4 linked regions of the Drosophila melanogaster genome follow. The protein of the gene in region 4 interacts with the protein of the main gene of each other region in a pairwise test. Each region holds a gene or a part of one and is shown on either strand. Other genes may lie near its edges. The genes, in order: CG42495, whe, Cys and Argk1.

Evidence for each region.
Region 1: the proteins of Argk1 (region 4) and CG42495 interact in a two-hybrid assay, tested with the Drosophila melanogaster proteins (one large-scale study listed by BioGRID).
Region 2: the proteins of Argk1 (region 4) and whe interact in a two-hybrid assay, tested with the Drosophila melanogaster proteins (one large-scale study listed by BioGRID).
Region 3: the proteins of Argk1 (region 4) and Cys interact in a two-hybrid assay, tested with the Drosophila melanogaster proteins (one large-scale study listed by BioGRID).

The regions. Positions count from the first base shown.
Region 1 is NT_037436.4:18,663,467-18,671,377, reverse strand, and holds CG42495 (uncharacterized protein), read right to left. Parts: upstream 4,018-7,911; 5' UTR 3,944-4,017; coding exon 3,799-3,943; intron 3,731-3,798; coding exon 3,585-3,730; intron 3,532-3,584; coding exon 3,394-3,531; 3' UTR 3,243-3,393; downstream 1-3,242. Other genes in the region: Capr (caprin), read left to right, coding at 1-110, 190-2,344; MYPT-75D (myosin phosphatase targeting subunit 75D), read right to left, coding at 5,124-5,680, 6,558-7,054, 7,118-7,238, 7,624-7,699, 7,761-7,886.
Region 2 is NC_004354.4:21,399,444-21,407,123, forward strand, and holds whe (what else), read right to left. Parts: upstream 3,330-7,680; 5' UTR 3,275-3,329; coding exon 3,017-3,274; 3' UTR 2,896-3,016; downstream 1-2,895.
Region 3 is NT_033777.3:14,566,313-14,573,801, reverse strand, and holds Cys (Cystatin-like), read left to right. Parts: upstream 1-4,157; 5' UTR 4,158-4,193; coding exon 4,194-4,378; exon of another isoform or gene 4,379-4,436; coding exon 4,437-4,632; 3' UTR 4,633-4,699; downstream 4,700-7,489. Other genes in the region: CG7987 (uncharacterized protein), read left to right, coding at 1-76, 168-592, 665-1,379, 1,441-3,069; CG8066 (uncharacterized protein), read left to right, coding at 5,017-5,138, 5,203-5,395; CG31313 (uncharacterized protein), read left to right, coding at 6,404-6,463, 6,522-6,637, 6,796-6,994; CG14852 (uncharacterized protein), read right to left, coding at 7,332-7,489.
Region 4 is NT_037436.4:9,061,417-9,071,210, forward strand, and holds the start of Argk1 (arginine kinase 1), read right to left. Parts: upstream 4,612-9,794; 5' UTR 4,292-4,611; intron 3,102-4,291; 5' UTR 3,092-3,101; coding exon 3,048-3,091; intron 1,533-3,047; exon of another isoform or gene 1,396-1,532; intron 1,052-1,395; coding exon 491-1,051; intron 1-490. Other genes in the region: CG4911 (uncharacterized protein), read right to left, coding at 9,100-9,231, 9,289-9,794.

The sequences.
Region 1 (7,911 bases), 9.6 Mb from region 4:
CAGAACGTGCTCAACTGTTTCAACGACGATCAAGTGCGCAGCGATTTTCTAAACGGCGAGAACGGAGCGAAAAAGTTGGAAAACACCGAACTGGAATTGCTGGAGAAGTTGTACGCATCAACACGCACATTAAACGATTTCCCTTTGGTATATATTAAGCCGCAATCCATTTCCCTTTTTTTTTTTTAGTTTCATTGAGACGCAAACACGCCGTCCGGAAACCGCTGACGATGTAAGCTTTATTGCCACTGCCCAGAAGTCTGCCGAACTCTTTTACTCGACCATCAATGCGCGTCCGAAGTCTTTCGGAGAAGTGTCCTTCGAGAAGTTGCGATCTCTCTTCCAGCAGATCCAGGATAGTGGGTACCTGGACAAGTATTACCTTGTTCCACTGGCCGAGAACGCGGTAGCCAACAGCACGGATAGTGGAACTGGAAGTGGCGATGGAGAAAGCGGTGACTTGTTGAACGATGGCTCGGGGGAACTGGACGCGGAACTGCCATCTGAGCCATCGGCTCGAAACTCTTTGGAGGAGGGACTAGACAAGTTGCATTTGGGCGTGCAAGCAGAACTGGACCAGCATCAATCGTACCAGCAACAGCAGGAGCGTCCGAGCCATCTTCTGGAGCCGCAGCACCAGAGAGCTCCATCCCTGGAACATCAGCAGAACTCGATGGTGCAGCAGGTGTCGACCCAGGTCTACCAGGCAGCTCCTCAGGCCGGAGGAACCACCACGCCAGTGCATGTTCTATACGCTCCAGCGCCACCAGCCCAGCAGCAGCCCCAGCAGCCGCCGCCGCATCCTCACCAGCTGTTAAGCAGCCCCGTGAATCTCCAGGCCTTGCAAACAGGAACAGCTGCTCCACCAGCACAACAGCAGCAACCACACCCAACCCACTTTGCTCCAAATGTGAGGGCCGTGGAGCAAAACTATTTCAAGCAGCCACCGCAGCATCCTCAAGGTCCTGGAATACAGGCACCACAAACGCCCCAGCAGCAGCAGTTTATGCAGCATTCGCGCCCCTTGGCGGAGGTCTTGGGCACAGGACGCTTCCATTTTCTGCAGGACAGTGAACTGGACAATCCTGAGGCTTTAGCACCGCCGCCTCCGACCAATCAGGGATTGGTATTTGAGCAGCAGCCGCAACAGCCCAACCATGTCGAAGAACCAACGCAGGCCATACTGACGCTGACCTTCACCAACCAATCGTTCCCATCGCAGCAGCCCCAGCCCCAGCAACAGGGTCCGCAGCAGCAGCAGCAGCTTTTCTCGCCGGTGCTGATCCACGAGCAACGTCAACAGCCACCACAGCAGCAGCCGCAACCAATGCTGATTATGCCGCGTCTGCCAACCCAACAACCGCAGCAGCCTGCTCCTCAGGGCATTGGCATGCAGGCGGGCGATGTGACCTCAGGGTTCTCATACGAAAATGCTGTTGTTTCCTATGAACAGCAGATCCAGCAGCAGCTGAAACAGCAGCAACAACAACAGCAGCAGCAGCAGCAAAATCTACAGCAGCTGGATGAGCCGTCATCTGTGAACAGCTCCTCGAGTGTCGGTGCTGGTGGAGATGTCGAGAACAATGAATGGCATGCCCGTAATAATGATACAAATGCTGCCGCCACAGCAGCACTGACGAATGTGCTCAAAGGCGAGACCACCCAGGCCACGCCACCGGCACCGCCAACCAAGTGGAGCTCGGAGATGAATGCCATGAGTAGCGCCGCCTCCAATGGCAGCAGCAACACCAGCCACAAGCAGGAGTGGGCCACGCCCAGGGACCACAGCACTGGCGGAGGCAATAGCGGTTATGCCGATAACAACGAGAGTAACAACCATTGGAACAACTCGCAAGGAGACGGACGCCGCAACTCTGGCAATTATCAGCGTCGTGGCGGAGACAGGGATAACCGGGATCGCGATCAGGGAGGGCGAGGTGACGAGCGGCGCAACGGCGGCGACAGGGGCAACTACCGGTCGCGTCAATACGGCAACTCATCTAACACGAACGGACGCAATTCGGGCAATTCGAGCGGTGTGTACTTCCGCAACAATGAGTCGGGCAATGGTGGAGGCAACAACTACTACCAGAACGGAGGAGGTGGCGGTGGCACCTACAACAAGGAGTCGCGCTACGAATCCTCCGGCGGCGGCGGTGGAAGCTATCGAGGCCAGCGCGGTGGCAACCAGCAGCGTAATGTAAATGGCTCGTATGGCGGCGGCAGGCCCATGGGCGATCGTGGTCGTGGCGGAGCGGGCAACCAGGGAGGTGGTGGTGGTGGCTACATAAACCGTCAGAACCAGTCGCAACGCATGCCACTCGGGCTGGAGAACAAAAACTGAGCATACAATACGTATTAACCCCGCAAACAAAACACACATACAATTCATGCAAACCATAAACACAACCTCCATACAGAAAACAAGGAAACCAATCATCAACATGCAAGTAATGGCCACGTAGACGTACAATTATTGTTACGCAAACCACTCTCAACCATAAGAAATGGAAATCTATCAAAAAGAATCCTTTATAACGCAACTAGGGAATCGAAAATGAAGCCGACACACAAATCAATTCGTGCGCATTTTTCAATACGATTTATACCTATTTCCCTTGATTTTGGTTTATTCGATAATGTATTAATAATAAAACAAAATAGTTGTTAGAAACACGAAAGAATTACAACTAAATACAGGAAAGTAAGCGCTCCAAGGGTTTCTAAAACTCCCAGACAGGATAGGACAGGACACAACACTACTTCGTCCAAGGAAAACAAACGACAGATGGGCAAAACTTGTATGTAACTTGGATCTGCCATTTCTTGCTTGATTTTACTTTTTGTCTGTTTGGCTGCGTTGAAGCTGATTGATGATTACAGATGTCGAGAGAAAGAATATAAAAAGTATTTATACGTCTTAGCAATTAAATAACGATTCTGAATTATAAAAATTAATTACTATTACCTATATATATAAACGAAGGGATAAATATATTTATAGTTTGTGCTCTTACTGTCATGCTCTATCCCATTTCAACACCTTTTTTTGTTCTGCCAAACTTTTACACACAAACGATGAAAACAAAAATACAAAACCACGTAAAACATAATAGTTGTAATTATTGCCGCGTGAATGAAGAAGCGTGCACACTAACAGTGCATTATAAATGAAATGAAAACTATGTATTTGCAAAACAGTACATACATTAAACAAAAGTATATAAACCATTCGTTTTTTTGGACTAATTGGGGTTCCCAACATTTTTATATTTTAAAGTTACAAATGGAAAATTAAGTTTCTTTAACTATTTTTATCCCTGCTTCAGAAAGTTATATGGCAAATGAAAAATGTGTATAAAAGAAGCTAATCTTAAGCAAATCCCATTCCTACTATTCCATTTTGTCCTGCTTTTCGGACTCGACTGTTCCTCCGTCGCAAAGAAACCAAAGACCAGCCAGAATGAGAGTTATTCCGATGCCAGATAGTACTGTCAGTGGCTCCCGATAAACAAGCGCACCTAGGACAAACTATATAACGAACAGTAATCATAATTGAACAAATAGATCGGTGGATCACCTACCGATAAGACATAATTCGAAGCGGCAGTTAAAACGACGCACGTTAAAGTTTGTTCAGTCATTTGCAGGGCCTTCAAAAAGAAACGCAAGTTGCAAACGTTGCATGTTACCATTAACACTAGTGGCAGCAGCTGAAGTAATGCTATTTCTAATAAATAAAATAAAATTTTATAAATTTATAAACATTTTGCTTGTTTGAAGAAATCACAATCTTGCCTAAATAAGAAAAGTCTTCATTTATTTGCGAAGTATTCAGTAGTTTTTGGGCGCTCAGGTGGCTGGGAAGTTTTCCGAAAAAGCTTCCTGCAGCTGCGAAGGAGCCAGCCACCAAACTGTATCGATATTTTGCGAGTGATTCCATTAGGTTAGATCTTTAAACTTATAAGTTTAAACCAATAAAAATGTAAACAAAAGTCGAACGAGGCAACAGCTGATGCGCAAAGCTGCCAACTTACTTCCATATGACAAGCTTGCGGTTCATTAAAATCCCGCCAGGTGGAGCACCTTGGCGCGAGATTTAAAAGAGTAGATATTTACTTCAACTTCATTCTTCATAAGAAATATAAGCACAGGAATATAAAAAACTAACTGGCGCAAAATCAAATCAAATTTGTGTGTAATTTTTTCGTATTTCATTTGTTTATTTTACAAAACGTTCAGCTAATGCCTTGACATTCATCGAAAAAGTCTCATTTGCTAATTGCGCGTTGTTTTTGCATCTTTTGGAATTGTGTAGGTTTATATACAAAGACCGCTGCTACATAAATAATACATATATTCTTGTACCTCTCAACAAAACTCAACTTACATAACGCAGAGCAAAGTAGTTGCATTAAAAAATAAATCTCTATGCCGCCTGGCATTATTAACATTCCTTCAATTCAAACATTTAGACACTTATATGTGGAAATTGCTTGAGTGCTATGCATTTCGTCTCATTGCTTTGCTTTACTTTGCTGTCACGGTTTAACTACAATTTTGCTATCGTACTATATATTTAGTTAAATATTTACTTGTTGCATAATACTTCGCCTGTTTCGGTTGTAACACTCACACACGGAAACACAGATATTCCTAATGCACTCCAAGCAAATCTATTAAGTTAGGTTCTTACTTAGCATTGCTATATAAATATTTTTTGATGTTTTTTCATTTTGATTTAGTTAGTTGTTATATATCGCCTAAGGTAAACTGCTCACAATTATTTTATACGTAATTCTTTTAATATTCTTTAAAATGTATACATATGGTTGTATATTTGTATAAATTTGTTTCGTATAATTGGTTGTGTGTGTCTTTAGTGTGTTGTTGTGTCTGCTAGGAAAATGCAACGACTTTCAGCCGTTATCTAGGAGCTCACAGAATCGAACCCCGTTCTCAAAACCAACATGCATTTGTGTAATCAACATTCAACAATTCACTCACTGAATACGGCTAATCTAATAAAAAGACACTTTTTTCTTGCCATTTAACAAATGGCCTATCCCTCTGACAATTCTGGCTGCTCTAATACCCTGTGACTCTAGTAGTTCGCTAAGTTTCTACATCAGGACGCAACACCTGCGACTGGAACTGGTGCTATCGGTGACCACGTCGCCAGTGATGCCGCTGAACTTGTTCAGCGAACTGCCCGCCGGCGAGGAGCCCTCGAAGTCGGATAGCACGCTTCCCGCGCCCATGTGACCCAATGTTGGCTGCGTCGAGATCGGTGCGGATCCGTTGTTGTTGTTGTTGCTGGTGCTCAGGTTGTTGTTGTTGTTGCTGCTGCTGCCGCCGGCTCCTAAAACAGAACCATTAGTTGTTGTGGCATTAGCTGCTGCAATTGGATGGGCATTGCTAGCTGTTTGGGATGACAATTCGAAAGTATTGAGGACATTGGCGGTGCGTGAAAGCGAGCGTTGCTTCTTCAAATTGGCCAATGTGGCGCTGTAGCCATCCAAGGCAACATGCTGCTGCTGCTGCTGCTGTTGCTGTTGCTGCTGATGTTGCTGAAGCTGCTGGTGTTGCTGCAACAGCAGTACGTGTTGCTGGTGGTGGTGTTGCTGCTGCTGCTGCTGCTGCTGTTGATGTTGCTGATGGTGGTGCGTGCTATTGGTGTCTGGATGTTGGAAGTTTTTGGCAAGGCGTTGGGTGTGTTTGGTGTTTAGTGGTGCGGTGGTTGTTGTTTTTATTGTTGATGATGATGCGGGCAGGCAGACGACACAGAACGGGCGAAACGAGGCACAACAACGACAACAAAAAAGAATGAAACGGAAACAAGCAAATGTTATTTTACTTTTCTTCTCTTCTTTTCCCGAGAACTAAGTTAGCAGATACCCATTGACCAATTGGGAGTGATCGGGTAGATGGGATGGAGGTTACATGCGAGTCAAATGCTAATGCTTATTGCAGCCATGCTCCCCTGTTTTCTAAGTACGATTTCTAGTATCAGAAAACCCATTTAGTGTAGTAAGCTATTAAAATGGCAATAATTTACATAAATAGTAATATATGCTTACGCTATTCCACTTTAGGCATTTAAATAAAGAAGTCATTTACAAAGCATATTTACAACATAATGAAATAAAAAGTATCTTACTACAACAATGACTGTCATTTCCATAAAATATATCTCAACTAAGCTATGCATCTCACGAAGCTATCCTATTAAAAATCTCAAACCAAGATATCGATTATCATTTCCTACAGGGCATTCGTCATTCTATAGTCTACTCATGCTGTTAGCTCTGCTTGCTTGTTGGAAGTATTTTCATTTCCATTTTAGTAGAGTCGTTAAATAAACATTAAACATTGACATTGACACGGGGACAGAATGGCGCTTAAGCAGAACTCTTGTGATACGTTGACGCTCCTTGGGAGCCAAACAGGATGGTTGGAGGTGGCGTCTGGATGGGGTGCTTGAGTAAATGGTTGGCTTTGGTTGAAAGGAGAAAGCGGAAGCAAGCCTGACACGTGGCCAAGGGCGCTTGACTCACCCACGAGGACGGTGACCTGGACATTGATCTTGCCGTTGGCAGCCTCCTTCGACGACTGGATTTGAACGGCCTCGGCACTGGCCGCCGTACCCTTCTCGGTGAGAATGACGGCCGCCGCCGAGGTGGCTCGCTGCATCTCTCCCGCAGCACCTGCAGCTTTCAGGCGTAGCAGTTCATCGTTTTCCCGGCCATCCGGTGGACGGCGCGACGGATAGGAATGTGTGGCGTTGGCCGACAAAGCGGCGGTGGCATTATCCAGCGCATCGGCGGACTTGGAGTGCGGCAGTGGTTGGCCATTCGAACTGCCCGTCGAGGGTCGCTTCTCTCCGTTGTTGTTTCCGTAACCATAGCCATTGGTCAGCGGATCCCCTGCCGATGAGGGAGCCTCCGAGTCCGTCGCCTCCTGCGCCTGCAGACGCAGCCGGGTCTCCTCGACGGCATCCTTTTTGGTTGTCAGCGTTTTGTCTCGCAAACTAGTGCGTCGCACTGATTGGGCTCTGTGGAAAGCATAGTTAGTTTTAATGGTTATGTTTAATGGCTCATAAATGTTATGTAAATGCCTTGTGTTGTTGCTCTGTGAGCGTCGAACGCGTCGTCGCTGCGCCTCGGCCAGTCGTTTGCTCTCCTGCTCCGTCTTCAGCTGTTCGATTCGCTCCCTGATTTCGGGATCTTCACAGATGTCTACAAAGGCGGATGGATTGATTTGTTAATATCCAGTTAAAACGTTTAAGTGTATTCTTATGTTTATGGCAACTAACATCTAAATGAACGTATGTACTATATGTGTTTATTTGAAATACTGAGCTAGGAGGAACTTTACGGAAATGGGTAACACTTTTTCGAGTTAGCCATTATAAATCGTTGATCCTGCCAAGCTAAAAAATTAATGCAATCTTTCTTCACACCTGAGAGCGCTTTCCTCCTACTCCTACTACAAATAGTCTAGATTTACACATTTTCCGTGTCGCATTAACAACAATTTATAGCTCAATTTCATATTCATGGTTATTTTGCTCTAGCCGGATAACCGTTGATTCAGTGCCGCAACCTTTTCGCATATTCTCACCTGAAGGAGTCTCGTCGTCCTTGTTGCGAACATTCAGATCAGCACCACACTGGGCCAGCATCTCCAGCACCTCAAGCTGAAAGAAGGAAATATTTAAAATTATTATTCCCATTTTTCGGCTTCGAGGCTTCACTTACATGACCCCAACAAGCGGCGGCATGCACCGGTGTCCACAGATCCTTGTCCATGGCATCCACGTTGACATGCTGCTCCAACAAAAACTCCACAACGCGGACGTATCCATTCGCAGCAGCTATGTGAAGCTGAACAATTGAGATAAGTTAAATG
Region 2 (7,680 bases), on a different chromosome or scaffold from region 4:
TCAATTATTTCCATCCGATGCCAGTAGCGTTTCGGTTCTCTCCGGCTTCACCGTTTCGCTCGCTCGCACATATGCATACCATGAAGTTGTTGTTGTTAATTGGAATAAATTGCTTCGGTGCTTTATTTAAAGAGGAATTTGTTTTGTTGCAGCATCGTACAACAAAATGCTTAATTAAGTTTTTGGTCTTGTTGCTTCAATTGTTATTTGTCTACACTTTTTTCAAATGCCTCTGGCTCTGTGTGTGTGTGAGTGTGGAAGCGTCTGCGCGAGTGTGCAATTGAGAATGCCGGTATAGAACAATGGCTGTTTAGAGCTGCTTTACACACGTAGAAATGATACCCTAAATGAGTTCTTTGAAAACATCCGTCCGTCAGTCCGTCCGTCTGTCCGTTCATACGAACGGTGTTATATCCGGAACTAAAAAAGCTAAAAAAATTAAGATTTGGTATAGGAACGAACACTTAGTACCTTTTATTTCCTTGATCTTTATTGTTCGTCCATTTTACACTCGATCTCCCGTGGAGGGTTACTCCTCCGAAACGTCACCGTTCCCAGACTAGGGTTAACAGGTGCTGGGCTGCCCTTGCTCGTCGCAACCTTCTGTCGCGGCCGGTCCCGCCAGACGCCTGTTCCGCTCCTGCAGATGCTCCGTGCAATCGTCCGGCTCACGCCACAGTCCCTGTACCGAGTCAAATGGACGGGCCTGCTCGACAGCGTTGTATCTGCTGTCCTGCGGCTCGTGTTGTCCTGATCGATGTGGGCTGCGCTGCTGGGTGCTATACTCGTTGGGCTGGGAATTATTGTCGTCCGCGGACTCACGGTAGTCAATGGTTGCCTCTTCCAGGCTATCGCCGGGCGAGATGACAACGCGTTAACCAGACGTCTGCTCTGACTGGTCGTGCCGGCACCACGCCTGCTCAGGCGATCGCTTGGTCTACGTTACGAGAACATTAAAACAGTCGACACGGCCTTCACCACAATCCCACCACACACGTGGGTCCTTGCTAGGATTTTGCACTCCTGCTCACACGATAGCGGACTCGCCGGGCTAAAGCCAGGGTCTGGTCTCAATTCGTAGTGTAGCAAGGCGACGCAACTTAGCCCTATTCGGAGACTTTTCGTGCCCCGAACGTCTCGACCTAGCGATCTTGTTCCTTATTAACTCTTAGTGCTACAGCTCCCTTGTTGCGTCGAACATTGACTTTTCAGCGCTCGGCCGGCTTATGTATGCCTCCCTAACCCGCTATTCCTCGATATTTCCAGTCTCCAGAACCAAACTGCACGGTTTTACCGTTATCCAGGTCCAAAGTCCAGCTTGGTACCGTTGCTTTCCTTAAATCGGCACGCCGACGCTCTCAGTTCTCCTGTAGTCCCGCTCTACTTTGTTCCGTCTCACTGTTTCTCTCTCTAACTCTCTTTCTACAGACTCCGTTCCTCCAAACTCTCTTCCTACGGAATCTGTCTCTCCAAACTCTCTTTTGTCCAAATTGTACGTTTCGCACTGTCGTTACTAAACTCTTATTAGTGCGCAACTGGTCGATTTTCGTTGCATTTTGAGTGAAATTAAAATAGCCACACTTAGTTTTTCAGCTTTTTGTTTTCGTCGTTTTTTGTCTGCGATTTTCACATTCTTGTTGTTGCTTCCCGGTGGGCGGATGCTCGGCGTGTGGGCCCTGTAAGGGTTAAGCTGCTAAGCCACTGTGGGCAAAAAGCCGAAAGAAAAACAAAAGAAAAGTTTTATTTGCATTTTTTTGGCATTTCGCTGCCAAAGGAAAGTGAAGCGAAGTCTGCAGGTATGCGATGCGGCAATTCCTGGCCCAGAATCCAAAATCCAGGATCCTTCTGCAGGATGGCTTTCCGGCCCAGGGGAAGGTCCCCGTTCACGTGAAACTTGTTTCATCTTGAAAAGTACAACACAAAAAAATTAAATAAAATAAAATGCGGGGAAAAAACCAAACTCATTTTACACAGATTCCTCGTCGTTTCCACTTTTCAACTTCCTTCAGCCAAGCCACTCAAACCCATTTCTCTACATATAACCAATTGAAATGAATTTGTATCCTGTGGACACACACACACACACACACACAGCCGCACGCATGCAACAACAACAAGGAGAGCAACAAGGACGAAAGAGGCGAAAACTTTGCCGACAAACTTTGACTTTGGTTATTGTTACAGTTTAACTTTGTTGCCTTTGCTATTCATCGTTTTGGTCTTATTTTGGCAGTCACTTTTTTGACAGGATATGCGCTATCTGATTACCCATTCGAAAATTATATTGTACATACATATGTGTTTTTGTTGGATAAAAAGGGGGATATATAAATTTAATTTTTTGAAACCAGTTATCGGTGGTTTTTATACAGTTGCATAATTTATCAGTTGTCACAATTATCATTTCGAAATATCCTTTGATTTGTACCTAATCATTTAAAGCCATTTAACAAATAGTTGTTATCTTAATAGCTTATTATCTAGTTGCCTTGTTAGTTACGTAGCTTTACGCTCTTTGAAAGTAATATTTTATGCTGTTCTTTTTTGCTTTTAATTCATACGTACAATAGGTATTTCCAAGTCGTGTGGGTACTTCCTAACGCCTTCAGCTGCTTCAGCTTATTGTTGGTGTCTTCGCTTTGTTGTACCGCTGTTGCCCTTGTTGCTTTTGTTTCGCCCGATGTTGCTGGTGTCGCCAAACGCAGACGTCGCCGTCTTCTGCCTTCCAAAAAGTGGGGTGGCAGCTGGAGGGGGCGTGCCAAAGGGAAACTTTTCAAATAAAATGATTTCTTATTTAGGCAACCGATTTGAGACACGCCCCCACACCCACACCCAGGCCCATTTCCATTTCCATTCCTCGGGCAGGAGCAACGCAACCATTACTCGGAGTTCGAAATGGAAATCGGTGCAGTTAATGGAATCGGTGGACGGTTTTATATATTGAAATAAGCAGAATATATATCTTTATTTAAAGATTTTTGAATGTTTTTACATGAAGGACTCGGCGATCGAGTTTCTAGGCGGACGCCTCACTGGAGGACTCGCTGGAGCTCTCCTGGGAGGAAGAGTCTTCGGAGGAGGATGAGTTGCCACCTTGGGGAGGTCCTTGTGGGAGTCCCTGGGGAGGTCCCTGAGGTATTCCCTGCGGCGGCTGGAGTCCTCCAGAGCCCTGAAGTGGTCCCAGACCTCCCTGCGGAAGTCCTGGAGGACGACGTCCTTGGACAGCAGCCAGAGCCACCATGGCGAGCACAACGATGAGGAAGATTACACGCATTTTGATTTTGTAGATGATTGACTTAGCAAATTCAATTGACTTCACCAACTGCACCCGAGCCCTATATATACCTCGGAGATCTCTACGGAATCGGATCTATTGCAGGTGTTTTGCAATTCTATGTTTTCGATGGACAAACAGAAGCATTGTGCAAACAGCGATGACCCAAGTGAAGTTGTGTAAACCCTTCATAATGGAAATACTTGGCCAACTGGTGATCTTAAAATATTAAACAAACTAACCTCGTGGTTGTGAAACTTTAGATTCATTATATTTATACTTACTTCCTAAAGCTATTCCGGGTGATCTAATGAATAAAATGTAGATTTATTGGAACAGCTTTAGGTTTTTTCGTTTCTTTTTTATTTTAGCAAAGTATCTAACTATAAGATTTCTGTTTCATAGATTTTTCTTTTCCGTAAATATGCATTTTGATTTAGCTTAAAGCTTTTCTCGGCACACCCAAGATGGGGAAATATAAAAATGGCAATGAAATAAAGTCGGGCAAAACAATTGAGCTGAAACCTTAAGCTCTTTGCTGGGATTTGGCCAAAAAAAGTGGAAAGTACTTGCACTTGTCTCGCCCCCACAAATCCCACACTCCGCGCATTTCTAAGATCCTGGAGCATTTGCCACTTGGATGATACACCTAACTTATAAAAATTTCTGCACATGATTCCGCTTTATTGCTTTATGACCGTGTGTGAGTTCTACTTGGAAATTCATATCTCTGGTACTAAACAAATGTTTCAACATTGAGCTTCGGCTTCTTGCTTTCCGGTTTTTTGCAACACGAGCCTATTTTCAGGACCTTGCATTAAATTTCGTTATTTCGTGCTCTTTTTTTTAGCCAGCATACATTTTTTTATTTATCGTAGTTGAGAGCTAACTTTAACCCTGTTTTTCTTAGTGTTCGTTCTTATGAATATTTCAAAGTACTGCCAGGCTCAAACTTTGACATTCAGACTGAAATTTGCCTTTATCCCGCGGAGAAGTGCACGCACCAACTCTCGAATATCCACATATAGTATCCTTGCAGCGAGTGTATAGCTTACCCTAAGTGTTAACACTTTCACTCGCAGGATTTCTTTTCGCTTATTTTCCTGTCTCGCAATTGCCGGCATGTAGTGTTGCTTATGAATCTATTTACAACAGCAACAAAAGGACCTTTTCTGTAGTCGTAATAACCTTTGATGATCTGTTTCAACGGCGCGTGCTGTGAATTGTCAATAAAAAGGCAATTTCGACGCTCTAAAACCAGCTCGGTGGACTGGATATTCCACTTCAGCACCGCACTTTCCACTTTTCCTATGTGGCTGCCGTTATGTGGTAGCTTTATGGAGAGCATGGGTGTACGACAGGGACTCGCAGGATGCGATACAAAGCTCTAGATGTCTGGATTCATTTCTGAGTTCAATCGGAGGGAACAGGATAATCGTTATAACCTCAAGAATTGGCGGTCGCTTCAATTATGGCTTGATTGATATATGGCTCTTCAGATATAAATTACATTTTCTGTACCATCAGTTCATCTAAACTTAATTTCTTATTCGTGTGCTAAAAAATTTAATGAGAGCTTAAAGGATACGGATATAGATATTAGCTGATTTTTCACATGCCAGCTATTAGCTAGTAGTTATCTATACCAAGTAGCAGTCCACAGGACTGCTGCCAAGGACGATTAGAAAGATTTCCCAACGGGTTCTGATTATTGGGGTAATTGGCCGCCCGGACGTTCCCTTGATTTGCGGTCAGCTGTCGTTGCCATCGGTCACATTTTGATTAACCCGAACGCAAATCCACTCACACCCTCAGATAAACACTCACCGGAATGCTGATGAGGCATTTAGTGTCTGGTGTCGAAGTCCGGTTCGCATGGTCATGGGATCGCCTGCCCCACCTCCGCATCTTCATTCGCATCATCCGCATCCTCGTTCGTTCGCATCCGCATCCATATCCATCCGGAACGTACTGCTAATGCGCCAAACGGGGTCTAATAGGCCTGATTCGATTGCACAATCGGTCAGTCCGCAGGCCAAGCTCCAATTTCGAGTTTCCACTCCCGAAACTGGTGAATCTGGCGAAACTACAAAAGCTCCCAAACGCCCATTTCCAACCTCAAACCATCAGTGAGCTCGGTTGAGTGAACTGGGGCCAGAAATGTTATTATGCAAAATAATAACAACGCATCGCACTATGAAATTAAATTTTGAATCCCAGCAGTGAGTAAACTTAAAATACAAGTTATTGCAACACCACAAACCGTTTCACATGTGTGGATCCCAGCATGCGAGTTGCCTCATGACTGCATTCGACTCTGACTACGACTACGACTTCGACTCGAGTCCTACGGATGCAGATGGTCTTGAGGATGTGAGTCCGGATGTAAAAGCGGATGCGGATGCGAATGCGAATGCGGATCTGTTCCGTGCTGCCTGCTCATTTCATGCCATTGAAAGACCATCGATGGCAGGGCATCCACAGTATTCGGTCAAGTAATACAATAGTAGTTCCTATTTAATAACCAAGAAACTAGTATGATACCGTTCCAACTGTGTGTCTTATCATGTGCTATATGATTACAGATTAACAATTTAGGGATATATATATATATATTTATATATATGTATATTTAAATGCAGAAATATTTTATCCATTCTGCCTTGAATGCCAAGCAGATCTCAAACTATTGTAGTAAAAACGTAACGAAAGCAGCTATTAGTGGTTTACAGTCAAGATGATAGTAACGACTGAAGATTACCTGTATTGAGCACACTTCGAGCTCTTCCTTATTTTCCCCTTTATTTAACATACAACCGAATGGCAGGTATACTCGAATCGATTGGATAAGCGTATTCCCGATTCGTGTTGATGGTATCTGGGAACCGCCTCTGTTTTCCCGCAGCAGTTTTCTGGCTCTTTTCATTCCGTTTTTTGGGGCCGTGGATCGGGGATTCCCCTCGCTGTTGCATTTGCCGTTCTTGGCTCGTTTTCGTTTTCGTGGGAGTTGGAAGACAAATTGATTTCATGTCTGAAACTTCTTAAGCGCCTGCACCGGGGGAATCCTTGGCGTCCGCCCCCCCCATTACCTCCACACCTCCTTCTGGTTTCCGTCTGTGTCTGCGGCCATCCGTGTTGTGTTTGTGTTTTCAAATTTGATATTGCACACATGAAGCGCAGCCAGAGCAACCTACTGAACCACCGGCTGGATTCGCTGCTTTTTTGGGGGCTCCTTCTCTCGTAGCAACTCGTACGTACGTACCTACCTACATAATACTTTCTGTCGGTCCTTTTGAAGTTGGTGTGTGCTGAATTTGTCTAGAAATTGATGCGCATGCCGTCGAAACAATATAGCGAGACAAGAGGGCAAAGGCAACATGTTGCAAAGGCTTGCCAGCCCGGTCCCCGATCCCCCCTTCCCCCTCTCCCCCTTTCCCCTTCCCTCACCACCGGCCACCGATGCACCAGGCCCCTTTCTCAACCGCCCCTCCAATTTTGGTTGCATGCTTTTGGCGAATATTTTGCGGCACGTCGCTGCGGCTTCGCCTCCGCTGTCATAGACATGAGCAATAGACAGATACATACAATCGAGCACATGTGCACTCGTGCCAAAAGTACACTGATCGAAAATCAATGGAACTGGGAGGAAGTTCTTCGGGTATTGTTTCTCCAGCATTTCCAGCATTGGCTAAGAGTGCTAGAGTGCTATCTTTCCATACATACTTCTAAGTCGTAAAATATTGCGATTGATCGAGTACAATTTAGGAAATGTTTTTTAAATGTGAAGGTATTGCTCTTTTCTGAACAGGACTTAAAGGCCAGATTTACATAGCACTTAAAACTGTCCACTGGATGGACCCATTTTCGAAAGTGCACTTATGTATATATCTGCGTGTGTTGCCGTATAAGTATATGGCTAAATATTTGCAATTTCGTGTTCGGTATTCCCCCAAGTGTGGCCATAAATTGGACCCTCTTTAATACGAGGTGCAAGCGATTCCGCCCCTCAATCCTCTTGTTTTCTCACATTTCCCCTGCCCTTGCTATCGATTCGTTATCCTTTATTTTTCTGTTGGCTTTCCTAATCAGTTTGGTGGTGGTCGTCCGGGGAGCTGACCCAAAGAAAGCAACCAAGGGATTCAAGTCAAGTGGAACAAAGTGGATAAGATGGGATCGGGTTCGGGGAAGGAATCTGTAATGCATGTTGGCGGCTCATTCAGTCGAAAAGGATTGGGTTATGATCTATCGAGGTTTCGGGCCATCCCGTGGGAATTTTCAATATAACTTATAAGTTTGGATATTAACTAGCTTAAGAATAGAGTAACTGGAAATATATATTTCATTTGAGAATGGTGGAGAGCAACCTCTGTTGCTCTCGTAAACATTCGGTGATTAAATAAGCGAAA
Region 3 (7,489 bases), on a different chromosome or scaffold from region 4:
TCACAGCAAACCTTTTGTGTGTCAGCAATGCGGATTGGCCTTTGCGCGGGAAAAGGCACTAGTTTCACACACCAAGGTAATACTCAACTCGAAATTTTTCCCTAAAACCAGCTTAACCAGTTCATTGACAAAATCATCCACTAATTATTCCTTTTTTTCTTCGTTAGAATCACCGCGTGGACTCACCGTTCGAATGCAACCAGTGTCAGGAGATGTTCTGGGACAACAGCAGCTTGCAGGAGCACCAGAAGACTCATCAGTTCGAGGAGAGCAACTCGGAGTACGATCCTGCCTCAGCGGAGGAGAGCGGCAGTGAATCGGAGGCAGACGAGCAGTTGTATGGCGAATTCTATTGCAACGAATGTGGGATCTCTTTTCATCGCCAGGATCTACTGCGACGTCATGCCAAGATGCACTGTAAGCCATCGGATCAGGCAGCTGTTGGTAGCAATTCCGATGTCACTGCTGGCGGAGACGTGGAGCTTGCCAAAGATTCTTCTGGTCACTGTTGCAACACTTGCGGAAAGTCCTTTCCTAGCGCTTTAGAGATGCTCGCCCATGCAGAAATCCATGCTAGGTTCCCGCCCTTCAAGTAAGTTCGGTCAAATGAACTTGATCACGAGCAGAAAACCGCATTTTAAAGGCTCATTTTGAATAACTTCAGGTGCGTCCTATGCGGCATTAGCTTTTACGAGGAGCAGGCGATTAAGCGTCACCTGCACACTCGCCATCCCAGTGAATTGAATGCCAATTCCTGCGTTCTGTGCGGCAAAGAGTGCCGCGATCGCAAGGCTCTGATAAAGCACGCCTGGGACCATTCGCGCGAGAAGTGCCATTCGTGCTCCAAGTGCGGAAAGAACTTCCACAACAAAGCGCGTCTAAAGCGGCACATGGCTTCGCATCGGGACAAGTCGGTTGTATGCGAGGTGTGCCAGGAAGAATTCCCCGACGGTCGTACGCTCTCCAACCATCGACACTCGCACAGCACTACTACGCCTGGCAAGCTTTTTCCGTGCCTCGAATGCGGCAAGACATTTGGTTCGCGCAGTTCCCAGCAGATTCACGTACGGATCCACACCGGTGAGCGGCCATATGGCTGCCGCTACTGCTGGAAGGCTTTCGCGGATGGTGGTACTCTGCGGAAGCACGAGAGAATCCACACCGGCGAGAAGCCATATGCCTGCTCCGTCTGCCCACGCGCCTTTAACCAACGGGTAGTGCTGCGGGAACACATTCGCTCCCATCATTCTGGGCTGGATGTAGCGCGGAACACCTATCACTGCACAGTCTGTTCCGAAGACCTGGCATCGTCCAATGACCTTATTCAGCACCTGATCCAACACAGTGATTCAAACACAGCTAAGCAGCGACAGCCCGTTGTAAGTAAAATCCTTTGTTTCGAGAGACTTGATAAATTAAAAGAATTGAATTGTTTTTTAGACGGGACCGCGCAAGTACAAGCGTCGCCGTAAGCTACAGCCTCACGAGATCGCTCACATGCGGGCGGCGAACAAGCATGTCAACGGTGATGAGGAAGAGGCCATAGGAGAAGGCGATGCAGAGGAGTGTGCCAGTGACATCGATTTCTGCGACTTTGATGTGGAGAACGTGGACGATATCTTCGACATGGCCGAATCACCCAAAAAAGAAAAGCGAAAGAGGGGCTCGGCAGCCACAAAAGCTGATGCCAAACCCGTGACCAATGGGAAAGCGGCAAAACCTGCCCAAGATAAGGGCAAAGCTAAGCCAAGATATGATTCCACCAGCAGTCAGCAATCGGATCGCCTTTGGGAGGAAAAGTTCCTGCACGACAGTCAAGTGGCTCTGTTTCAGATCGATTCGCTGGTAGTGGTCAACGACACTCATTTGCAGCCTGCTAGCTCCGCTGTGTCTGCTAACATACCCAACACAAGAGGTGGATCGAAGCAGCAGGGAAAAGTTCAGGCGAAGTCTGTAGAAGGAGCCGAAAATTTGAATAGCTCAGCTACCACATCTGACACTACATTCTCCGCCTCCACCTCCACTGCCAGCACTCGGAGCCGCAAGAGGGCAGCAACCACTAAAACAGCCAGCAAAGCACCTCCTGCCAGTAATTCGCGACCTCGAATGATTCACACAGAGAAAGCCAAGGTGACAAAAGGAGTTGGCGGAGACTCCACTAGTAGTTCGGCAAAGAAAACGCGCTCGAAGACCTATATAAGTCGCACGGAGTCGCACAATCTGAGCCTCGACAAATCCCGCAGCAGTGCCTCAAATATGGTGGATGACTATGAAATCATTTCTCCAGCTACTCATCCGCCAAATCAGATCAGCTCCAGTCCCTTGCACATCAAACAGGAGCAGGAACAACAACAGCGTGTTCAACTTATGTACGATGATAACCTACTGATAGATGCTGCTCTGCTCAGGGAGAAGACTTATGAGAAGTTTAATCCGAGCATTGTTAATGATCTGGAGGAGATCCTCCGCTCTCCACTGAAGCACGAGAGAAATTCTCGTCTTCGCTTTACCAGCGAGTCATCCACCACGCCACAATATTTGCACGAAGAGGAGCAAAACCTTATAAAAATTGAACCAACTTCTCCGGATCTGCGGGAAATGTTGGAGGGTCAGCAAAGAGTCATCGCTCATAGCGGCAGCACTCCTTCGTCCTCTTCATCTGCTAGAACTTCCAGACATCTGCGACAAATCACTGCCAATGGTGCACGGGCAGGCAGCAAGAGAACAACAGGTGGCGTAGCCAGCAAGACGTCGGCATCCCCGGGAGTGGTGGCCAAAAAATCGAACACTGCCACCAAGGTGAGCAGCAGCAGCTCATCCTCGTACCTCTCGTACGGGGTGGATTCCTACAATGTAAACGTACCTGCCAGTGCCAACAACGGCGATGTGGGCAGCGGATTCTTTTCCATCTCGGAGGTCGTTTCCGCAGCTGACGCCGCGGATGCGGCTGCTAAAGCGGCGGCAGCTGGTAAATCGGAGCGGAAAACTCGCAGTTTCGAGTGCGAAATGTGCTCGGCCATCTTTTATGATCGCACCCAGCTGCTGGAACATGTGCACATTCACATTTAAATGGAAGCTACCTAAACCACTCGCCCGGAGCCTTGTATTTTTGAAACATCTTATCCTTATATACAAACAAAATCGGAGTAAATTACCTCAAGGTATCGTGCATCGAAAAATATCGTTGATTTATGCGTTATTTAAAATATGGAACCTAAACCTATTATAGAGAGAATAGTTCGTAAGGCTTTTAAGTTTGTACCTCAGCTTTTGTTTTGAAGAATTGGTATGCTGGAATAAATACATCATTAAATGGTTTTTCATTACCTTAAATTTTGCTATCACGTATAGATTGAATCTGATTGATAAGATGGGCTCATGTAACCTTTTCTGATGTTTGAAATCTCTCCTAGAAATCTTAAATTTTCTTGGAAACTGCGATAGTGGCATGTAATATACTTTTTATAATTGGTTAAATGTTTATAAACTTGCACATGTGGGTCTTAATACATATCGACTGACCTTTGTAGTACATACTCATAGAAACACTGATAAGAGCATACCGGAAGTCTGTGTGTAATTTGAAGCCATGATTATATGTTTTCATATGTGGTGTACGGTGACTTGTTTTCGGCTCATTTGCACAGATTTTCAATTAAAGCCGCAACTGCTAACTGAAGTAGAGATCAAAACGATTCTCACAGAAAAGCGGCTTTCGCCCATCTGATAAATCAATTAATTACCGCCAATGAGCCGTATTAGAATATAAGTAAACGATTTCATTTGCATATGCATATTTATTAATCATGGAAATAGATTCTTATTTAAAGGGGGCGCACCTTTGAATATTGACTATAAATATTTGAATATTGACTATAAATATTTGGATAGTAGCTGCGAAAATATCAGGACACGTAGATACCGTAGTTTATGTTCTAAAAAAAAATATTTCGAATCTTAAAACTATTTTTTCACTTATTTTGCCTTTCTAAGCAATTTTCTTAAATATTGTAAACCCCGAGTGAGGTTCTGGTTATTGATAGTTCTGATGATGGGCCAGTCAAGTCTTGGATCGATGGCATAGAGAGCCTATTGTATTTTTCCATTGTTGATCTCCCACTGAGATGGCAGGTATAAAATGGGCCACATCGCCGGGTGTTCATCAGTTCTCTCAGAGTCGTCGAGCGAGCAACATGAACGTAGTAAAATCTTTGTGTATTTTGGGTCTGGTTCTCGTCAGCTTGATTGCCACCCAAGCAGCCGATGAGCAGGTGGTAGGCGGTGTCAGCCAGTTGGAGGGAAACAGCAGGAAGGAGGCTCTGGAACTTCTGGATGCCACTCTCGCACAGTTGGCCACCGGAGATGGTCCCAGCTACAAGTGAGTTAGAACTGAGTTCCGAATTTAAAATTCATACTAATTGATCTGCTGATCTTAGGGCAATCAATGTGACCTCTGTGACGGGTCAGGTCGTAGCTGGAAGTCTTAACACCTACGAGGTGGAACTTGACAATGGATCCGACAAAAAGCAGTGCACCGTGAAGATCTGGACTCAGCCATGGCTCAAGGAGAACGGCACCAACATCAAGATCAAGTGCTCTGGTGACGATGGCGAACTGGACCGCACCTGGTAGAAGATTCTTCGTGAGAATTGCCCTGAAAGAAATAATAATAAAAAAAAAAACAAGATACACGTGATTTAAAAAATGATTTTTGATTAATTTTCGGGGAACTATTGTTGCAAAGTATCCAATATATTGTTGGGAAAAATAATAGGAGTGTATAAATACTTGATTTGCTTTGTTTACGTTCCGTGCTAACCAATTCCCATCGCTAGGCAATTACACACATACTATACATATACATATATAAGATACTATATATTTATTGAGATAACAACCATAGAAGCTTTCACTCCAACAAAAGCTCCAGAAGCTGACTCACAATCGGAACGGAACAGAGTGATATCATTTCATGTTTTGGTTTTGGTTTTGTTGAGTTTTGCTACTATCGCCGCCATGTCCAACGTTCCAATTGTAGGCGGGATCAGTCAGCTGGAGGGGAATGAGAGGAAGGAGGCTCTGGAACTCCTCGATGCCACCCTCGCACAGTTGGCCAACGGAGATGGACCCAGCTACAAGTGAGTTAAGGCTAAACTCGGTCTAGAGCTTGCCACTTATTAATTGATTTTACTCCAATTGAAGGGCACTTAATGTAACCTCTGTGACGGGTCAGGTCGTAGCTGGAAGACTCAACACCTACGAGGTGCAGCTGGACAATGGATCCGAGATAAAACAGGGCACTGTGCAGATCTGGAGTCGCGCATGGCTAAAGGAGAACGGCACCAACATCAAGATCAAGTTCCCGGGTGAGGACGAACTGGACCACACCTGGTAGAAGGTTTTACCTTAGACCTACATACAGTTTAACTCTTATCTTAAATGTTATACATATGTTATATACTGGACTTAATTATAGATACCCTTAGGGGGGAACCATATTCTTGCGACCTCAGGTAGCGTACAGAAGAGAGCCTTACCTTTACTATCTGGGAGGATTTGTGTACATTTGGTTACATTAAAACATGATCCGATGGAAAAGGTTCTCTTGGGTTTCAGGTACAAGCCGGTGAAGTAGGTTATAAAACTGTTCCGATGTTGGTTAACCAGTTCTGTTGGCATAACCAGTTTGTTTATATCTCAATATATATATCTCAATAGGTGAATCGTATTATCTTTTCTCTCAACTATTGTGTGTGTTTAATTAGTCAGCGTGGGCGTCATCAGCGGTGTCAGTGGATGTTACAAATAATAATTCCCCCTTTCTTGCTGATAATAAGCTTGTTTTTTTTAAATAATCAGAAGACCTTTCGAAAACAATAGACATTAGTAATTTATCAGAAACACAACTGGCAACTGGTAACTAAACTAAAAGCGTCAGTAAACTCCACCCCCTAAAGTCATATATTCATTCTTATCAACCTTCATTGAATAATCATTATCTCTCGAAAAGTAGAAATGAAAACTTTAAACATTTGCTAACGACTGACTCAAATAAAGGTGTACTCACACAGAATGATTAGTCCATACAATGTTAATGCTCCTGACCTGGGCAAACAATTAAAATGATATCACAAAACGACAGGCCTGTGCAAAACCAAAGTAAAATATTAACCAATAAACTGAAGATTAAGTAAAAAAAAAGATTCAAAACAAGCGGTTTCAGGTTTGAGTGCACACTACTTGGCGCCTCTCCTTCTTTGGGGGCCGGTTGGCGTTGATCGCGAATAAATAAATATACATACAATATATTCTCGGCGAGCAATCCGATGATCTCGGTTTCCTCTATAAAAGCGGTCTTCTATGCGCCGTGTTTGCTCAGTTTGGAACAAGTGTTTCGAGGGAAATGCAGTCCGTGAAAGTGATCTTTGTTCTGTCTGTGACCCTGGCGGTTGCCTTTGCTAACGTGAGTTCGAGCTGATATTGTTATTATTTGATATTTGCCTGACTTGTCAAAACAAAAGCCGAGGTTGCCGCCCGGTGCCCCGAAGCCGCTGGATGGAGATGACTTATCCAAGGCTAAGGAGCTCTTGGACACAACGCTCGCCAAACTTGCCACAGGAGATGGTCCCAATTATCAGTAAGTATAAGGTAATTAATTTTGGAAAAATTTCGATGATAAACGGCAACAGAACAAGTGTAATCTTATCAATATAATTAAAGCATGACGTGATTTATTTTTGATTAGAAATAACAAAAGAATGAGAGATTTTAAAATAGTGTTCATGCTCGTTTCAGGGTAGTGAATGTGATCTCGGCATCTAGCCAACTGGTGGCTGGGTCGCTCTACAAATTCGAGGTGAAGCTGTCCAACGGAGCCGAGACCAAGGAGTGCAACGTAAAGATCTGGGACAGGCCATGGCTGCATGAGCAGGGGGAGGCCACCAATGTGAAGGTCCAGTGCAAGGATGAAGATGTGCTCGAGAAGACCTGGTAGGGCGTCATTGCTGTGTTTAACCATACAATTTGCAATACAATAAAGGTGCAATCTCTGGTGCTTGAGAAATGGGACAATAATTTTTCGAAGCTTGCCTACTCCGGTGACTCCCAGAAATGATTGTGCTTATATCATGAACTGTGATAATTAATTTGTGCGGATTGTGCAGTAACCAGTTTTTCTTTATATTTAAAACAAAATGTTATCACGTCTGTGTGAATAACTAGCTAGAAGGCAAAAACCAAACCCAAGACGTCTTAACCGATCTTTTGGCGATACTTGCGAACTTTCTTTAGGATATGCAATTTATTTATACATTTATTTTGTAGGCACAAAATTAAATGCTATTGGTTCTGCTTAGCCTGTTATTCCTGTTATTGCGACGGTTCCTCCTGCGCCGAGCCTGCTGAGCCCGGCGACGTCGAGCGCGTTGAGCCCGCTGGCGGCGCCTCCGACGGTTGTTCCGCTTGTTGTTGCCGCTGTTGTTGCTGCTGC
Region 4 (9,794 bases):
AAACACATGGCAAAGTTCGGGTTCATAAATAAACCGTAGACTGCACATGCAGCACCAGCACAAGATCCCAAAGACTCGACGCCATGTGAGCCGAGCTGTCCGCCCAAGCGGACAAAAATAACAGCAAATTGTGGTCTCCACCCATAGCCATCATCATCATCATCATCATCGCCATCATCATGGTGATCCAACGAATTTGCTGATGCTGCAGCACCGTTGTCGCCAAGCGGTTGAGTTTCTGCCGCATGGCAACTATTTTCGCCGAGAAGTCACCAGAGTGCATTGAACCCACTTCTCGCCATGGGAGATGAGGAAAAATGAAATTTAAAAATACATATTTTTCGGAAATAAATGAAGAATGTTGTAACAAAGTGCCCGAAATAAGGAGATACCAGCTAATAGAATCTATCGGTTAGCAAAGGCAACCAAGGGTTTTCTAAAGTAAAGACTTAAATAAACAAAACATAAAACGAAAGGATTTAAAGCTTACCGCTCGCCCAACTGTTGAGCCTCCTTAATCGACTGGATGAAGGCATTGGTCTCGCCCTTGATGAAGTCATTGCTGGCCTCCTTGGCCGCTGGAAGCACCTTCTCGGCCTGCTGGCCACCGAACACCAGTTCATCCACATTACCGCCATTGGCGGCATTGCCATTTTGGCCATTGGTATTGGCCTCTGTCAAGGATTTTGGCAGTGGGATCGGCATCTTGTCGGCTTGTTTTGGCGGACTGCTGGGCTTGGCTGGGGGAGGAGTTGGTTTTGGCGGGGCAACTACGGGTGATGGCACAGGTTCCGGTTTGGGCTTTGGAGCAGGTTCTTCCTTCGGTGGAGCGGGAGCTGTCGCAGGAACTGGAACCGGAGTGGGTTTGGCTACCGCTGGCGCTGGTTTTGGGGGATCTGGTTTAGGAGCAGGTGGTACTACAGCGGGCTTTGGAGTTGGAGCAGGTGCAGGAGCTGGTGCTGATTCCTTGGCGGGAGCTGGATTCGCTGGCTTGTTGTCGAGCGCAGGCGCTGCTGGCTTGTTAGAACTAAATAACCAAGCTAAACGTTTGCTACAAATGAAAAGGGGAAATGGCAACAAAACAAAAAATGAATAAATAAAATATCAAATTAGGGAATCTATAAAACTAAAGTGCACTGCAAATAAAATATCAAATGAAAAATGGATAAATTGATAAGAGAATGAGAAATGTGTAAGGTATGATGCTTTTTTCACTGTTTGCATTTGATAATTTATATTTTTAGTCACTAACATTTTAACATGCGCTTGTATGCAATGTCTACTGTAGCATCTTTTTTCCACTACGATTTACAGAAAGTTCCAGAATAAATGCGGCGAAGCGTGAAACAAGGAAATGCGCGCTTAGCGCTAATATTCCATGATTACATTACCCACCTTTAACTATAGGCACCGCCTACCGTTGAAAATCAATAAATAACAATTGCTTTTATAGAAAATAAGACTTTTTAGACGAAGAATAAAATTAATTTGCGATCTACGCGTCCTAATTCGCCAAATGACAAGAGTAAAATGGACAATGTAAAGTTACAAGCAGTGTGACCACTCCTTAGTGCATTGAAAACTTTGACAGCCCTTGTAAATCATTGGTGTATCCCTATACTCCATAACATTTCGATAAATATTTGAAAACAAATATAGTCGCAAATAACGATTTTTCAATATGCAGTAATTGCAGTAAATCATATGCATTTTAATATAATTAAAAGTAAATGAAGCCTTTTAGTAGTTCGTAGAGTCACACTGGAAGGATCTAAGGCAGCCCTGGTTTTTGAAATTGATTTAAATTTGAAAAGTATGAAAATACTGCACTTTCTAGCTTTTGTTATAGAGTTAATCATAGTTCTTTTATAATGCCCTATAGATAAGAAAACAAAATAGAGCCAGTTATTTATTGTACTTTGCCAAAAGGCGTTAGCCTATTGGTGGGCGTGTTGCTTAGACGCAAATGTTTCAGTGCTTTAATGCCCACAAATGGCAGTAATTTAGAACTGTAACCACAATTTCTTATTTCCCACCCATTTCCCCAGTTACGAAATTACTTTCTCCACTCCCCCATTTCTTTGGGCCGGCGTCGTCATTTCTCTTGTCACGTAGGCCAAAACGGCAATAGCTGACGAAAAACTCGTGCGGCAAATTGATAAGCAAACAAACGAGCTCCACCCGGCATAAAATCGGCAAATCGGCAAAATACCGGCCCCAAATGCCGGCTGTATGGATGAGAACGAAAAAAACTAATACCGCTCCAAACTTCAATTATCACTTTTGTTATTACGCTAATTGCCGGCAGATAACAACTGGACGCTTTTTTCTTTATTTTTTTGCCAAAAAAATGCGAATTTTGTTTTGCACATGTGCAAATCAGAGAATGTTTGAATGTGTGCGATCAGCCGATTGCACTTATCACGAATGAGAGTTAGAGCCACAAAAGCCGGTTGTTATGGGCTGGGGTATTCGACGAGATCGGGGGAGTGGGAGATGGGAAAACGGACAGATAGTTCATCATGTGACACCGCTCGGTGACTAACTTTCTTGCCAAATGCAGGAAAATTATACACACAGTCGCATTAGCACCTTCGAACCATAACGATCACGGAAACGTAGAGCTAAATTGGTCTAATTCAACAACTGATAGCGATAAGATTATCGGGTTTGCAATGATTGCGTCCCAAAAGTGCGACTACTGTTATCGCCAAGATTTATGAAATGCAAGAAAGTAGCTTTGCTTGGTGAAGGTGTTGTTATTAGCATTGCATAACCATTAAAAGCCAGTAAATTTATTTGTATTACCCAATCCCCCAAAGCTCGAATCACATACCAGAAACTTTTCATTTAAAACGTACTTAGACCTTTTTCTGAATTGCAGAATATTTTTAAGCTTAACTCCAAAAAGGATCTCATTACGCCCCCAAACTACAATTCACCATTAACACTACCCAGCCGAAAAGTAGGCAACACAAAACGTTCATCCGCCCTGTGGGGGGCACAGCAGTGCTTGCCAAACTGTGGAAAACCCCTTTTGCACTTACCGTATTTCATCGACAGCAAAAGTTAAATACCACAAAGCGAACATTTTGTATTAGCTGAAATTGAGAGAAGATCGAATGAGTAAATAGTTAAGTGATTTTCAAAGCAATTTGACCGCTAATGTATACGAATTAATTGGACTATAAATGGCAATTTCCACACCACATGCACTTGTTGGACTGGCACTGAATCTGATTCACCCAGCGACCTCGAAAAGCGCAACAAATGACGTCGCCGTCAAGCAATGCAAAAAAAAAAAACTCAATCGAGCGAGGCGCTCATCAGAAAAGTAAGTTCCAGAGAGCCAGAGCTCAATTAAGACCCAAGGCACACAGATAAAAAAACAGTTGAACAGGCGAAAAGACAGCAGTGAATATATGCCGGCATTATTCAAGGTTTATTTATAAACAAAAGCGCGCATGGGTTTGCAAATGCAAAATGCAGAATGCCAAATTCGCAGAACGCTGAGCGCCGAGGCACGTGAAGTCGAGACTTTTGGGCAAACGGCCAGAGATGGGAAACAGTACACAGAAAAAACCTCATAAATGGGAAAATGAAAATGTTTTGTCATAAATTTGATTTCTGAATTTCTGAATTTCTTATTTAAACTCCTCCCCAATTGAAGCCTACTAACGCCAACATTATTAAAGTTTGCCTCAATTAAAAAGTTATAAATGAAAGTTTCTTTATATGAAATATTTGAGGCACCTGCCTAGTATTTGGTTTGCAAAGTTTATTTTTAAGATATGTCATAACATTTAATATGTATTCTCACAAGCAAACAAATTGCAAATTTTCCTCTGTGCACTGCAGATCAATTCGGAAAAAGGGGAACTTTTTGTGCACCGGATGGCGCCCAATGGTCGAAAGGGTTCTAAATTTAGATAGTGCTGCCATCGATCAATTAAATATGATTATTTTGCGCACTGTTTGCAGTCCCCTGAGCTTTGTTTATCCCTCGGATTTGAGCAAAGGCAAGCAAAATTCACCATGAAGCTCCGTCTGCGTTTGTTTTCTTTTGCACACGCGGCGTATGAGCAATCTGCGATGGTAATAGCACACTCAGACTCTGACAGTTACGTCACATCGCACGGCAAACGTATGAGTGGGTGGCTGGGGCGTGGAAAATGGGTGGGTGGTGGTGCCTAAGAACACTCATTCCCATAACACTCATTCACTGTTGCAGCATGCCACACATAACAAACAACTGGGGACTTGCAGCATGACCCCTTCTGCGTGCACTCACCTTTTGTGCCTGTGTTGGATAATAAAACGACTAGAAAAAGTTGCAAGTGCTTTTCCGGAGGGTTTTCCGTTCGATTTTTTCGTATATCAAAAGGTTCGTTTCGTTTAAATGCTTCACAGCTGGTCAAATATCGAGGACTGGTCTCGATTGTGTGTTGTTTGATTTTGAGTAAAGGTACAAAATTAATTTTCTCTCGACTGGCACTCTTCTGCTGTTGAATGCTTCTTTCAAGTTTTTTTCGACTGTCGTGCTCCGTGCGAAAATCGACTGCTCTACTGGCGGCAAAAGCGACGAGACTACGGCTACGACGGCATCCAACTGAGAGAGCCCCAAAGAGAATGGGGAGCACGGAGAGCGCCGACGCCAATGTTTCCTAGCTGTGGCTGCACTTGCGACGAAGCTTTTCTCACGAGATTCGTTTCCCAACGAACCCACGGGTTCTGTGCCAGGTACACCCGAAAAAAACTTAGAAGACTTTAATCAGATTCCAACAGAGAGGGTTCAGAGTTAACTACTATAAAGGATATACATATTTATTAGAGGACACTAGCAAATAATTAAATGTAGATATTTCAATGTAGTAATAACTAATAGTAAATCTATGAATTTTCTGTAACTAATTAATTATTTTTCTCTGTGCACGATTTCAATATTTATTTCCGTGTACTCTCCGATTCGGAATGTTACTCATAGGCTTACGCTATGCCACCGCTATGTGTCAATAATCGCGTTGAACCTGGTCAAAAGGCTGCCTAATCAATAAAAGAAAAGAATTTTCGGAAACAGTTTTTGGGCACTGGACGAGTCACTTTTCCAATTGGCACTATCAGTTCAATGTTTACTATTTATTTTGCTTACTGCAGCGTTTGGCCCAGGCCAAAACTATCAAATTTGGTCGAAAAAGCGCTGCTGACGCCTTTCGCCGGTTGTCTGTCGTGGGCAAATAAATCCAGATAATAAACTCGAGCGTACTGTTCAGTCATTCATTCAACAGCGCTATCTATTTTGCAAAGCCCACTTAATTGGCCTGGGTGATGATGATTGGGGTCTTATCGCTCGCCGAAGACTCTGCAGTTTGAGAGCCACTGCAACGGCAAAGATGCAATGGCAAGCGCACAGAGTCCGTGAATCCCGTGGACCAGGTTGCATAATGATACGTACAGCTGCTTACATAACCGCGGCAGCGAGAAAGGCGACCAGAAACAAGGTCAAAAGTTCAAGGACTGAGAAAAGCTCGAAAACATCCTGGAGCGCTTGCGTTGCTCAGCGGAAGTTCCTGCGAGTGTGGGTGTTCTGTTTTTGTTGACAAAAAGTTTTTATTATCACGAATTATGTACTTTTAATCGGCTACCTTCGGCCTACAGCACTAAATATTGTATAACACAACCCATGAAGTATGCAACGAAAATAAAGATTAAAGCACTTGAAAAGGATAACTTTCGAGCCCCTTCCGTAAATAATTAGGAGCACAATTTTGATTTAAGTTTCAAACATTTTTTATTGGTTTTTCAATTGAATGCATTTTGTTTGCTACGCTTTAATTGGTTTATATATCTTGGTTGTCTTACATTGTAATGATATTGCATATGCCACACAAACTGCTGTTGGCCTCGGTTGATTAAGCTTTAAAATCTTGCACAAAACATAATCATTGCAAATCAAATGGAAATTGACTTTGAATAAAACGCTTGCTTTCATATATTTTAAGCTATGTGCATTTTGTATGTGTATTATTTTACTACATATCGATATATAATTTAACATTTGAATCATTCTCATCTTCACTTTTCATCCTGACTGGAATATCAATCTAATTCCGCACGCTGTTGATTCACTCAAACACTTCGGTTCAAAACTTTGGTTCCCCCGCGTTCGTCCTTCGTTAACCCGCTAAGCTAGCTACTACTGGATCTGATCCGATCTCCTATAGTTCATTTTGAATTCTTCTCGTTGGCCATTTCATTTCAGATGGTCCGGTCGGTACTTATACTGGTTCTTAGTTCCGGAAAGGTTGTTAACATACTTTTGTTGGTCGCACACGTTTCGAATTGGCTTGTCTGTTGTTTTTGTAGTTTAATGTGTTGGTGTTATCTTTGTGTGTTGTCGGTTGTCGTTTGCCCTTTTTGTTGGATCTTGTTGTATCACAGCTTTCTTCACTTTTGCTCTTATAACTTTTAAGCATAACTTGCATATACATATATATAAACATTGCTGTTAATGCACGGCTGTCATACATATCGTCTTTCGGATTTTCTACCCTCCTCGCCCATGTCACACTTGTTGTTCCCCTGAATGTCGACATCGAGCATACCCTACATACATACATATATTAACACCCTGACTTGTTGTTATTCTCGATCAACAATTATCTTAAACTTGGTTGGTCTTTTTTCCTCCTTCTGTAGTGTTGCTACTGGATCAGTACATACGTTAGCATAAATCGCATTGGTTTGTTGTGGTTGTGGAATGGTTTACAAAATTCTTTTCGCTCTCATCGAATTTAAATACAATAAATGGCATATAAAATATATTTGTTTTGTAGTAAGTATACCAAAAGAACGTTACTCATATACAGCAGCGTTGGAAGTGACACTAGTATAACAGAAAAACTTAATACTTGTTTCATTTACGTTGATTGTAATTGAATGAATCCATTGATTGACAATTAGTTCGGGCTGGATATTGAGCTAACGATCTTTTACAGTCCTAGCTCTATTTTATAGCTTTATGACACATTATTTTGGCTAATAGCACTTTCCTTTAACTTTTTACAAATCGAACTCCTCGATAAACAATATTAGGAGTTTACTCTTTTTCTTATTAATTTAATAACGCGCTGTGAGTACTTTTTGAAGGCAACTTCGAATTCAATTGTAGCTATTCAATTAGGCGGTTAATTTGGAAAATAATACTATAGAAACTGGTGTATCAGGGAGCTATAAAATAGAGCCCATATAACCTATATCCCCCATTAATCTGGCCCTGTCTTTCCAATGCTTACTACCGTTCTCATTGCTTCAATAGTGCAGTATCTTAGGTCTTATTTTGCACATTATGTTGTTCGTGGAAGCAGCATGACACTTTTATCACATTTGTTGTTGGTGTTGGTTGTTGTGTTTGGTACGTACTAGACTTAAATTAAATGCACAGCCACATACAAACAGGTCTGGTTACATAATGTAGGCCGTCGATTTGCAATCTCTTTATGACCCAAGACTCTGTTCTTGATTTGACTTTTCTGTGGCCGTGTTGCGGTTGCTGTTTGACAAACATTCTTAGTTTGCTTCGCGCTTTACACATGAATTGAACTCGTTTTACAAAAAATAATATTTGCTATTGCAGTTCATAAAAAATGATTACATGCATTGGTTACATATAGATACATTCATACATACAAATATAGATGGTCGATTGGATAGTTGTAGGAGTTATCTGTGAGATCGCATTTTGTTTGCGGTTGTTACTTGTCCCAGAAACCAATTGCCATCCTCCGTTTTGCTCTGACAACAAGGTCAACACCATCTTTATCGTTCAGTCTTCTGTTTCAATAGATTTTGTGTTTGTTTAGATTGTTACATTTGAGCAAGTACTTTGCGGTTGTTGTTCGGTTGTTCTCTAAATGCTCGGCATGATCTTCAGGTACCATTTTTGTTGTTGTTGCTGTTGATGTTGTCATTGTTGCTGTTGTACTTGTTGGTCGGCAAGCATGTCTGCGGAGGATGAGCCGCGGCTCGTAACAACACGCTGCTGTTTTGTGCAAACATAGGTTAAATATAGTACATAGTTGTATAATTAATGCCTGTGCTACAAAATACTTAAGAGTTGGATTTGGGTCTTATAATTGCCTGGCTTTTTGGCCCGTTTATCTGGCCACAACGCATGCACCACACGCACGACAGCTATTTCCTTAGCTCCATTTGGCTATTACATACAATACATATATATCTGTGTGGTGTTTTGTATTTGCTTACATTTTGCTTTGCTGTTGCTGGTAATATCACTTTAAACTACACAAATGGCGGCGCTTAGCGAACGAGGATCTAGCTCTCGTTGTTGTTACATTTGCTTATGTTGTTGTTTGTTGGTTTATCACAATTGAGCGCCAGATTCTGTACTTATTCACACTACTACAAAGGTTAACAATTTGTGCCAATTGCGTCGTTTTGAGCAAACAATTTGACATTGGTCGTAGTTTTGGTTTTACAAACATTTTCAACACTTTTTGTTACTTTAAACTTAGCTAACTAGACAATTCGCTTAACAACTTGCTGTTGTCGTTTTTGTTATTCTTTGTATGAGAGCTGGGTATAGCATTTGCTTTCACACTGGCTTGCATTTGCATCTGCTGCATTCGCTTGAATCACAGTTGTTGTTGCTTATAAAATGATGTTTCTCTAGCAGGTTTCAACAAACTCATCTCGCCCCGTTACATAATTACATAAATTTGTGAAGTGCTCAAGTCTTTTGCTTTGCTCCTAACATTCCTGTCGCTCTTGATCTGTCGCTTTTGTACTAATAAACAAGGGCTAATCGCGATTTTGATTACAAAGGCTAAGAAATTAGGAAAATTTAACATCTATGAAATGCTCGCCAATCAAAAGGTTTGGTGACGATTATGACGATTAAATTTTCTTTTTGCTTACATTATTCTTTTGGGTTTTTTGTTTAGCTACGTAATTAGGTTTTGCAATTTATAAATTAATTTCTATGCGCTCGAGTTGATCACGTGTCATGTTTTCATTTCTTTCGTTCACTTGATGACTGCTTCAATTTTTGGTTATATTTGAGTAGTTTCCTATTTCGACCACTTACTGGCGGAGATCCTGGCGCAGCATTTCGTACACGAACTGATCGCGTAAATCGTTGTCGTAGAACAACGATGGCGGCATTTTGTCAAAGCTGATGGGTGACCATTGTTGTCCCAGTAAGGTGCTTATCTCCTGAAGGATAATCAATTAAGTTACTCGTTTAGTTACAGGACGTTTTAAAGAACTCACTTCATTGTAGGCGTTCAGCAAAGGAGCGCCTGACCAATCGATCATGGAGACTTCCAGACGCTTTAGCTGCCGACCCCGAAGACGGGCAATGCCCACGAGGTTATGCGGATCCATCAAGTACCCGTGCACTACGATCTCCTCCAGCTGTTTGCAGCGCCAGGCCATCATTACGAATGGATCCTGGAGTAAAGAGACACGGCGACTGGAGTTCATGCGATTGGAATATTTGTACGGCGCGTCCACATAGTGAATGCTGCGCAGAGTTTCCCTGTAATGCAACGACATCCAGTCCAAGGCTTCGGCGTTCATCTTTTCGCAGAATAGCAGTCGCACATGGGTTACAGGCATATTGCTACGCAGCACACGATGCTGCAGTAGTGCGATGGCCTCATAGGCATACACAAGGGTCAGCACCAACTCAATGCTCGAAAAGTGATCCGAAAAGTTGGACCAGGCCGTCTCCGACACATCGGGATGCTCTTCGCTATCCAGGCCGTGCACTGCGA